Oryctolagus cuniculus: one gene and its partner. The protein of the gene in region 1 interacts with the protein of each later gene in a pairwise test. Links are inferred from orthologs where the notes say so. Each region holds a gene or a part of one and is shown on either strand. Other genes may lie near its edges.

Region 1 (5,216 bases):
ATGTGGGTGCTGGTTTGAGTCCTGACTGGTCCACTTCCAATCCATCTCCCTGGTGATGCACCTGCCGCAGAAGATGGCCCAAGTACTTGGGCCCTTGCACTCATGTGGGAGACCTGGATGATGCTCCAGGCTTCTGGCTTTGGTCCTATCCAGCCACAGCCATTGCAGCCATTTGGTGAGTGAACAAGAGGAAGGATCTCTCTCTCTCTTTGTGTATGTGGATTCCCCTCCCCTCAACTCTTTCAAATAAATAATCGAATAAATCTAAAAAAAACCACTACTCAGAAATTTGCTTCAACGTAGTGTTAAGAAGTTATAGTTCGGCCGGCGCCGCGGCTCACTAGGCTAATCCTCTGCCTAGCGGCGCCGGCACACCGGGTTCTAGTCCCGGTTGGGGCGCCGGATTCTGTCCCAGTTGCCCCTCTTCCAGGCCAGCTCTCTGCTGTGGCCCGGGAGTGCAGTGGAGGATGGCCCAGGTGCTTGGGCCCTGCACCCCATGGGAGACCAGGAAAAGCACCTGGCTCCTGGCTCCTGCCATCGGATCAGCGCGGTGCGCCGGCCGCAGCGCGCCGGCTGCGGCGGCCACTGAAGGGTGAACCAACAGCAAAGGAAGACCTTTCTCTCTGTCTCTCTCTCTCACTGTCCACTCTGCCTGTCAAAAAAAAAAAAAAAAAAAAAAAAAAAAAAAAAAAAAGCAGTTATAGTTCATTAATTATTCACTCTGTTTTCAAAAGATATATAACTAAAAGTGTCTGTGATCATCCAGTGGTGATAATAATCTGGGCTTATTTTTACCTGGTTATTAAATAACAGGAAATACGGAGGCCAGTTCTGTGACATAGTGGGCTAAGCCTTCACCTGCAGCACTGGCATCCCTTGTGGGTGCCGGTTCACATTCTGGCTGCTCCTCTTCTGATCCAGTTCTATGATTATGGCCTGGAAGGCCAGCTCTCTGCTGTGGCCCAGGAGTGCAGTGGAGGATGGCCCAAGTGCTTGGGCCCTGCACCCACATGGGAGACCAGGATAAGCACCTGGCTCCTGCCTTTGGATCAGCGCGGTGCGCCGGCCGCGGCGGCGATTGGAGGGCGAACCGACGGCAAAAGGAAGACCTTTCTCTCTGTCTCTCTCTCTCACTGTCCACTCTGCCTGTCAAAAAAAAAAAAAAAAAAAAGGCCTGGGAAAGCAGTGGAAGATGGCCCAAGTGCTTGGGCCCCCACGCCCATATGGCAGATCTGGAGGAAGCTCCTGGCTCTTGGCTTTGGATCGGCCCAGCTGCAGCTGTTGCGGCCATTTGTGAAGTGAACCAGCAGGTGGAAGACCTTTCTCTCTGTCTCTCTCTGTCTGTAACTCTGTCTCTCAAATAAATAATCTTAATAATAGTAATAGGAAATATGGTTAATTCAAACAACTTGAAATCATGCCTCTCTAATTAATATATATTAAATCTGTTATGAAATGAAGAATAAGCTCTCTACAATTAGATGGCTAAACTTAAAACCCTCTTTGTTCCCCCAGCAATGACCCAGTCTATTCCAAATCACAGATCTGAGGAAATAACACTCAGGTTGGGACAGAGACTGTGCTGGGCATAGATAGATCATGGCGCTCACCTCATTATATTGGATTTTCCACTGTATTTGTTGGCCTTCCATGCATCTCTAAGGATCCTGTCCTTCCACGGCTGTATAACCAGAGCTCAGGGAGGAGCTAGCACAGAGAAGGTGCTTGGTAACTCTCTGGTTGGGGCTAGCTGTTTCTCTTCTCTCCTGTGTGCTGGATTAGTGCACAGCCACTTCCTACATCTGCTGCTCAGTTGCAGTGGGACCTGTCAGCTTAACCTTTCTAATTTCTCACCTCCAACTGGCATGGCATTTTGTGTGTGGTTTTAGCACTGCTTCAGGAAAGGCAAACTAACTGTCTGAAATACTTTCATCTCAGAGAGGGATTTATAATCATTTTGTTAAATGATATTTTGTTAAACGAGCATTTGTGCCATAAAGTGAAAGTAGAAAGACAGTTATTGAATAATGAAATTCACTTTCTTGTGGCAGTGGGCATTTAGCCTAGAAGATTAAGACACCTGTGTACCACATTCCAGTGCCTGGGTTCGATTCCCAGCTCCTGCTCCTGACTCCTGCGTTTCTGCCAAAGCAGCTGGCAGATTAAAGTAATTGTGTTCCTGCCACCACCGTGGGAGTCCTGGATTGAGTTCCTCTGGCTTTGACCCAGCCCAAACCATTGTGGGTGTCTGGGGAGTGAACCAGCAGATGGAAGTGCGCTCTCTCACTCTCACGCTCTCTCTCTCTCTCCCCCCCCCTTCCCTCTCTCTCTCCCCTCTCTCCCTCTCTTTCTCCCCACTCCCTTCCTCTTCCTCTGAAATTAAAAAATAAAAAATCCTTTTCTTGGGCGTCTACGGTAAAGCACGCGATCTCCATGGCTATCTTAGAGCAGCCCAAATGACCCTGGCTGATGTGTGGCCCAGACGGGAGCTCTAGGAAACTGAAAACTGGAATTGTCACTTGGGACAACCGCCTGCCCCAGTTTGGCTGTGCATACATTTCACATCTGTATTGTTATTTTAAAGACAGACGGAGCAAACCTCACGTTTCAAAAGTTACTTAAGGAAGTCTCACAATTAACAGAGCAGCCCTGTGACTCATTTTTGGAGACCCGTGTAGAAATAACAACTCCTCCCTTTGCTGAGAAACGGCTTCTGCACGGGCCGGCCTGCGCAGCGCGGGGAGAAGCGCGGCTCCTGGTGAGGGTCCTCTGGGCGCCGCCAGCCAGCGAATTCACTCCGGGGCAGCCTCTGCCTGCGTGCTCTGAGAAAGTCGCGAGCGCTTGCCAGGAACCGCCTCAGCGCTATCATTTGGTCCGCATTTCCTGGCTCCTGAGTCACGCTGTCAAGTTCAAGTCAAGAGGTCCTCATTCTGTTTTTGAGAAAGTGCACCCCACTAGGAAGTGAGCCGTTTTATCAGGCCGAAGTAATGCCCCCACTTTCACAAAAGTGGGGTGGGTGGATCCTTGCAGAAGGCAGACAACAGGTGTCTCTGAGAACAATGCCCACTAAATCCTCAGTCCCTCGCCTTGGAAAAACGAAATAAATAAGAACCAACAACAAGCCATTGCGCTCCGTACGAGAAACCCAGTGTGGCGTCCCTAAGGGCCAGGAAGCGAGGGGTGGACCAGGGCCAAACCCGAAAACCTGGGCCCAGCATCCTGTCGCCGGGCAAGTGAGCGTCCCCTCCCGCCCTCCTTGGGCCCACACTCCCAGCTCCCCGCGTTCGGGACAGAAAAGGAGACCCAGGCAGGAAGGAACGAACCTGGACCCGGGGCGACCGTGCGAGCTGAGAAGCCGCTCTCTTACCCGAGCGCCGGCTTCGCGCTGGGCGCCAGGACGCAGAGAAAACCTGTTGCGCGCCTCTCCGCGGCTCAGCTCTCGCCGCCTCCCACAGCCTCCGCTCCTCCCGCGCCAGAGGCTGGGCTCAGCCGCCGCCTCCCGAACTCCGAGCCGCCGAGGCCGCATCTGGGCGCCGCCGGCTCGGCCCCCGACACTTCGCAAGAGCCCACGGCTGGGATCGAGGCCCCGCCCCGGGACGACAGCGCGGAGGCGCCGCGTCCACCAGCTGCCCGCGCGCAGGTTCCCGCCCCGCCCGCTGCCGGTGCGCTCCGGGCTGCCCGGAACCTGGGGCTCGCGCGCGCCTGCGGTGCGCCGCCGGGCGCTCCCGTGAGGTCGGGGTAATTGGCCACCCGAAGCCATCATCTGTCCCCCGCCTTCCTCTGGGCCCCTGCGGGAAGCGCCGGACTTTCCCGGGGAAACCCCGCGGCTCTGGTGACATTTGCAGCAGGGTGCGTTTCCGTGGCGAGGACGCTTGAAGCGAATTCTGAGCGTGGGTGTGGCCGCCAGAGGACGGCTGAGACGAGGCTGCAGGTCACACGATGGCTGGGCACTGGCTTTCCAGAACCCACGCCGACCGGCACCCTTCAAACCTTTGCCAACGCCAGTTTGAGTTCATTCATTCACTGAGGAGCCAGAGACACGACCATGGCCAAAATATTGCCAAGCCTCTGACGTCTTTGTGGGAATAGGGAAGCAGATACAGTGCGTATGTATTGTGGAAGGCGGTGGGAAGAGCCTTGAAGACCGAGGCTGAGACTTAAAGGTAAGAATAGTGTTCATTAAACACACACACACACACACACAATAAATAAGGGCCAGCGCTGTGGCACAGCGGGTTAGCTGCCTGCAGCACCGGCATCCCATATGGATACTGGTTGGTGCTCCAGCTGCTCCACTTCCTATCCAGCTCCCTGCTAAGGCACCTGGGAAAGCAGCTGAAGATGGCACAAGTCCTTGAGTTCCTGCACCTACGTGGGAGACCCAGGTGAAGCTCTGGGCTCCTGACTTCAGACCGGCCCAGCTCTGGCCAGTGCAGCCATTTGGAGAGTGAACCAGCAGATGGAAGCTAGTGCGCTCGCTCGCGTGCTCTCTCTCTCTCTCTCTTCCTCCCCCTCTCAAATAAATGGAAGGAAGGAAGGAAGAAAGGAAGGGAGGGAGGGAGGGAGGGGAAAGGAAGAAAGGAAGGAAGGGAGGGACGGAGGAAGGGAGGGAAAGAAAGAGAGACACAAACAAACCAAACTCCCACAAAGATGGGAGAATGTAAAAAAAAAAAGAGAAGCAACCAAAGGCCAAAGCTTGAATGGTTTGAGCAAGAAATTAACAAACATCATTTAAAGATGGCACATTTCTGAGAATTGCCTTAATAGTTGATGTGCTGTTTGTGCAAAAATCAAAGGATACTTACACAAACCCATGAAGCAGTCTCCTATTCAGCCGGTCTGTTGTACAGCGACTGTGGTATATGGGGTCTGTCCTTAGCCCAATGGTCCTTACATAGGTGTGACGGTAGTATTGGAGTAAAGCCCAAGATAAATATATATCTATGAGTCCACATTAGTATACATGAATGATCCCACAAGTAAGTGCAAGAGAAGAGACAAACCCCCCAAATAAAACTGCAAACAGTTTATGTAGGTGGTCCGTAGTCACAGAAGAGAAGCACCAACTCTCCACGACTCTCCACTCTGTTAGTGTAAGCTGTGCTTAGTGATGTTCCTCTTAAAAAAAAAAAAAAAGTATAGCCAGGACAGGGGAGAAGAGCATAGCTTCACAGTGGTGCTCAAGGTCGACATCAGCCAGCTTAAATCATACTAGT
Region 2 (5,420 bases), on another chromosome or scaffold:
GTCCAAGGCACCATGGCCTGAGCGCTCGTGTGGTAAAATGGCCACACAGGCAGGGACGTGGCTCGCACGGCACCAGGGCGCTCATCCCGAGTGTCTCTCGGAGGCGGTGGGGACCAGCTCCTCGGGCCGCAACCCTGAGAGCCTGCATCAGTACCGGCGGCAAACAGCGCATCCAGTGCAGCCGGTCCCCGTGGTTACACGGCGCGAGGAGGCAGCGCCCAGGGCCTGGCGCTTTCTCAGCGTCCCAGGAGAGAGAACAGAGCAAATAAAGCCCTCAGGAGACTTCGGCCATTTGCCATTTCTTTCCCACCCAGCGGCCAGAGGGTCTCCCCCGAGACTGCATCCAGTCCCCCCCGGCAGAGAGCCACTCAGACACCAGTGCAGGTCACCGCCCACCGGGGGTTTAATTCGCCTGCGAGAGAATCGGTGAGAGAGGGCGCCTGCCTCTCTCCCATCCAGGGCACCTGGAATGTCCAAGCCCAGGGGAGCCAGGGCCTCGTCCCTGAGCAGCGGAGGGCGGTCCCTGGCCTCAGGCCGTCTCCTCGTCTTCACTCTCTTCCTCGCTCTCGTGGTACTGCCTGCGGTTGGTGTTGACGAAGAGGTCAGAGTCGTCTTCAGAGCTGGACTCCTGCGAGTGCGGCTCGGCTGGGAGTTCGGGCTGAGTCTGTCTGTGGGCGGAAGAGGACACTCAGCCCAACATCTTCGGGGAAAACCATTCTGCAGCCAAGAAGTCCCACAAAAGGAAGACCACCGGCCCACCAAAGCACAGTGCTGCCTTGAAGACCAAGGGGAAAGACGGGGTCACAGCAGCAGTGGGAAAACCCAGGGCACCTGGCTTCCCAACAGCGACACACCCACCTATCACTCCACGCATGTGGGGCTCTCCCCCAGCACCCCGTCACGGGGGAAAGAAGCTGTACTTTCCCTCAACAGCACCAGCGTGAACCCTGTTTGTTTCCCCCACCCTAAGGCTTGTCTTCTTACCCCCCGAGATTTATCTGAAAGTCAGAGCCACAGAGACAGACATCTGGTCACTCCCCAGATGGCTGCCGCGGCCGGGCTGGGCGTCATCCGGACTCCCACGTGGGCCACCTTCCACTGCTCTTCCCAAACCCCTAGAGGAGCTGCACTGAAGGGGAGCAGCCGGGACACAAGCTGACATCCATGAGGGGGGCTGCCCGCCAGGCCACACGGGAGGGGGCTGCCCACCAGGCCTCACCCCCCCCCCCCCCCCCCCGCCCACACGGGAGGGGTCTGCCCGCCAGGCCTCGCCCCCGCCCACAGGGGAGGGGTCTGCCCGCCAGGCCTCACCCCCCGCCCACACGGGAGAGGTCTGCCCGCCAGCTCACACGGGAGGGGGCTGCCCGCCAGGCCTCACCCACCCCCCGCCCACACGGGAGGGGTCTGCCCGCCAGGCCTCGCCCCCGCCCACACGGGAGGGGTCTGCCCGCCAGCTCACACGGGAGGGGTCGCTTGTTTCTCACCTGCTCCTGCTGTTGCTGTGGTCCTCCGCCACTGCAGAGAAGGCCTCCGGCCTGTGCCAAGGGAAGGACCAGGGTCAGAGCGGACGAGGCAACGTCTCGCCGGGCCCGTTCCCTAGCGCGGTGGCCCCGCCTACCATCGCCCCTCCCTCTGCAGGGAGCGCACGTGGTCCTTGCAGAGCACGAAGCAGATCTCAGCCTTCACTTTCTCGCCCTCCTCGATGGGGTCGACGATGAGAAAGTCTCCTGGGGCGGAGCAGGAGAGCCGTCAGTCCTGCCCCTCCGGGAAAGCCTCGGCCGGCTCGGCCGCCGCGGGGCCGCCCCTCACCTCTCTTGATCCAGATGTTCTTCCGGTACTTGGAGGGCATGCTGACCAGGAAGCGCTGCCCCTGGGCCGTCTCCACTTCGTGCAGGTTGTTCCCGGGGGTCCGGAGGACCTGGTCCGGGAAAGAGCAGGCACCAGTCTGCCTCACCAGAGCTCACAGCCCGCGAGCCGCACGGCGCCCTCCTGCACCCACGGGCCCAGGGCGGGGCGGGGGCCCAGGGCAGGGCGGGACGGGGGCCCAGGGCAGGGTGGGACGGGGGGCCCAGGGCGGGGCGGGGGGCAGGGCGGGACGGGGGGCAGGCCGGGGCAGGGGCCCAGGGCAGGGCGGGACGGGGGCCCAGGGCAGGGCAGGGCGGGGCGGGGCCCAGGGCGGGGCGGGGGGCAGGGCGGGACGGGGCCCAGGGCGGGGCGGGGGCCCGCCGCTCACCCTCACGATCTGCTGCTGCTCCGAGGGCACCACGGGCTCCCCCAGCAACTCCTTCACCACGTGCTTCCTCTTGGTGGCCTGAGACATGCTGGGTCCTGGCCAGGGCGGGCAGGGCCGCAGACAGCGCCAGATCCCCCGGACTGGCAGGCTCCGGAGCCAGGACGCGACGTGTTACTGAGGGGAGAGCGCCGTGGTGAGGGGCCCTGACGCCTACCTGGCTGCCTTCGCTTCCCTGGGCCCCAAGAGTTGGCTCAGATCGTCAGAGGGCGAGATAACGAAAACGGCCCGGAGCAGCCGCGGAAGGTGGACTCCTGTTCCCTTCGACGCCGGGATGACCACACAGCTGCGCGCGGGGTCCAGAAAAGCCATTCCGCGCCCTCTCCGGGCGGTGCCGTCCTCAGCACGCAGGCACGCCCCGGTCCAGCGCCGCTGGGCACGGACGAGGGGGCCGCGGCCCTGGCCAGCCGCACCTGCCGCACCTGGGAGCTGGCCAGGGGGCGGGTCCGGGTACCACGAGGCTGGGGGCACTCCGACCTCCGACGTGCCGCCTGCAGCTGCCGCCCTCCCCCCACCCCGTCTTCCTGCCCCTCCAGCTCGGAGGACAGACCCTCGGATAGACCAAGCTTACTTTCCGGCCCTCGCTTTCCGGGTGCTGTCCGAGAAACCCCCACGTCGCCAGGCTGGACGCCCACACTTCAACGCTGAGCCGACGAAAGCACACAAGCAGCAGCTGCCGGCCGTCAGACAGCGCCGTCCGCTTGTGCTCCGGCCCCCGGCGTCCCCGGTCCCCGCAGTCCAACTCAGTCCCTTCCAGGAACTGAACTTCCGCCGTTCCCCCGGAAGCCGTCCGCTCACCCGTCCCCTCCCTCGTCCGTCCCTCTAACTCTTCCCCTCGCCAGGTCAGTCAAGCCCAAGCCCTTGCGTTCCGCGTGTCGGGCAGCAGAGAGAAAGTCTTCCCCCGACAGTCCTCTCCCGCACGCCAAGGAGAGGCCCGAGAAGTGAGGCGGCGGGGACGAGCCGGCTTCCCGCGAGGGGGCGTTAAGGACGCCCTGCAGGCTCGGGACATGGGGTGGGGGGCGCGTCTCCACTCTGTGGCTCGGAGGGGATAGACGCGCCCAATTTGGCTATTTTTTAAGGCGGCCCCCGAGGCGACCCGGAAGCGGAAGTCGAAGAAAGTTCTAGTGGCTTGAGCGGCGGGAGCGGCCGGGTGGCGGGAGGAGCCGTTGCGGGAGCCGGAGCTGCCGGTGCGCGCGGGCCGCGGAGCAGGGCCGCGGCTGGGGGCCGGAGGAGGCGCGGGGAGGCGGGCGGGCCCAGGCGCCGCGGCGGGCCGGAGGACGCGGCCCCGGGCCGGCCGGGCCGCGCAGCGGGCGGGCGGCGGCGCGTGGGAGCCGTGGAGCGCGGCGGGGGCGGGGCGGCGCGCGCCGGGGGGCGGGGCCGGCGCGGCGGCGCGCGCGGCGTGGACGCTGCGGGGCTGCGCGTTCGCGCGGCGAGGGGGCTGCGGCGGCCGGGTGGGTCAGGGCGCGGCGTGCCACGTGACTGTCCGGTCCCAGGCGGGGTCAGCGGCTTTGCCCAGCCAAGGTCACAGGAGGAGTGGCAGCTCCCGGGCCCGGGAACCCGCGCGCGCCACCTGTTCGGCCGCGAGAGTGTTTCCTTCTGGGATGTCGGCAAACCCCGCTCCCGCGGGAAGTGGGCGGGGTCCTCTGGAGTAGTGGCAGAAAGACCCCCCCCGGACCCCCGTTCTCTCATCGGGGAGATGAGCCGGGGGGACTCGCCCCGCGGCTGGCCTGGCTGCCCCTCCGCGTGAGCTGCCCGCAGGCCCTAACCCGGCTTCTCTTGGGATTCCCAGATTAAGCCCGAGCAAGATGACGACGTCGCAAAAGCACCGGGACTTCGTGGCGGAGCCCATGGGGGAGAAGCCGGTGGGCAGCCTGGCCGGCATCGGCGAGGTCCTGGGGAAGAAGCTGGAGGAAAGGGGGTTCGACAAGGTGCGGGGTGGCCGCCGGGCCGGGGCGGGGCCTGTGACCCTGAAGCCGGAGGAGCGGCCCGGGGGCACTGGCCGTCTCTCCCTGTGTTTTGCAGGCCTACGTGGTCCTTGGCCAGTTTCTGGTGCTAAAGAAAGACGAGGACCTGTTCCGGGAGTGGCTGAAGGACACTTGTGGCGCCAACGCCAAGCAGTCCCGGGACTGCTTCGGGTGCCTCCGGGAGTGGTGTGACGCCTTCTTGTGAGCCGCCCGGGGAGCCCCCCGGCCCGGAGTCTGCAGCGGAGGGGGCTCGGCCCTGTGCGCCTCATGGGAAAAGGTTGTTCACCTGCGACGCCCGCCGCCCGCCCTCACCGTTGCCACGGCTCCGGAGCTCACTCCTGCATGCCGCTCCCCGCAGTCCCCTGCCGGTCCCACCGCGACCGCGGCTTCCCGCCCCTCCCGCACCTCCGGTCTGTTTGCCGTTTGGCTCCCTGTGTGGCAGAACCGTCACTGTCCTGTTTTTAAATCAATAAAGTCAGTGGCCTTCACCGTGCTCCGTGTGTCGCGCAGCGAGTGGGCCGGGAGCCGCGGCCCCCCGGGGGTTCGCTGGGTCTCGCACTCCTTATCGGCGAACACCGAAACTGGCAGCCGCCCCGGCCACGTGGGCCTCGGGCAGGTGCCGCCGAGTGTCCCAATCCCTGGGTGACGTGGGAGAGCGTGGGCTGACCTCTGCCTGGGAGTCAGACAGGTTGTGTCGGAGCAGCTGTCTGTCAACAGCCAGGCTCGGCAGCACCTGGTGGAAAAAGCAGTGGGAGTCGGGTGCCAGGGAGAGGGTGGACCGGGTGTGGGAGAGCACCTGCCAGTCATCACGGCACCCGCCCCAGCCTCTGTGTGCCCTGTCACCTTTAGGAGGGGAGCGAGTGTGGGCGTCACAGCCGAGTTATACTTGGACTGTGTTTCAGCCCTGATTATTTTTGTGGGGTAGGGGGAAGGTACAGAGATCTCCCATCGAATGGCCACTCCCTGAATGCCCCCAGCACCCAGGCTTGCGCTAGGCTGAAGCCAGGAGCCTGGAACTCAACCTGGGGCAGGGAACCAAGTACCTGCATTGTCACCTGGTGCATCTGTACAGACCAGCGGGGGACCAGAGTCAGCGGAGCTGGGGCTGGAGCGCTGGCCCTGTGATTCGGTGCTGGCATCCCAGTTGGCGTCAAAGCCAGTTAAAC

The links.
Region 2: the proteins of STX11 (region 1) and EIF1AD interact in binary tests that used the Homo sapiens proteins (3 or more experiments, as listed by UniProt). The two-hybrid records come from large-scale screens. The link is inferred for Oryctolagus cuniculus from reciprocal best matches to the Homo sapiens genes STX11 and EIF1AD.

Annotation. Positions count from the first base shown.
Region 1 is NC_091436.1:24,387,322-24,392,537, forward strand, and holds the start of STX11 (syntaxin-11), read right to left. Parts: upstream 3,508-5,216; 5' UTR 3,368-3,507; exon of another isoform or gene 3,324-3,367; intron 1-3,323. UniProt on the Homo sapiens protein: SNARE that acts to regulate protein transport between late endosomes and the trans-Golgi network.
Region 2 is NC_091432.1:5,799,969-5,805,388, reverse strand, and holds EIF1AD (probable RNA-binding protein EIF1AD), read right to left. Parts: upstream 3,345-5,420; 5' UTR 3,303-3,344; coding exon of another isoform or gene 3,298-3,302; 5' UTR 2,862-3,297; intron 2,408-2,861; 5' UTR 2,321-2,407; coding exon 2,234-2,320; intron 1,919-2,233; coding exon 1,810-1,918; intron 1,728-1,809; coding exon 1,619-1,727; intron 1,536-1,618; coding exon 1,485-1,535; intron 1,130-1,484; coding exon of another isoform or gene 995-1,129; exon of another isoform or gene 985-994; intron 669-984; coding exon 530-668; 3' UTR 380-529; downstream 1-379. Other genes in the region: BANF1 (barrier-to-autointegration factor), read left to right, coding at 3,298-3,302, 4,080-4,218, 4,313-4,459.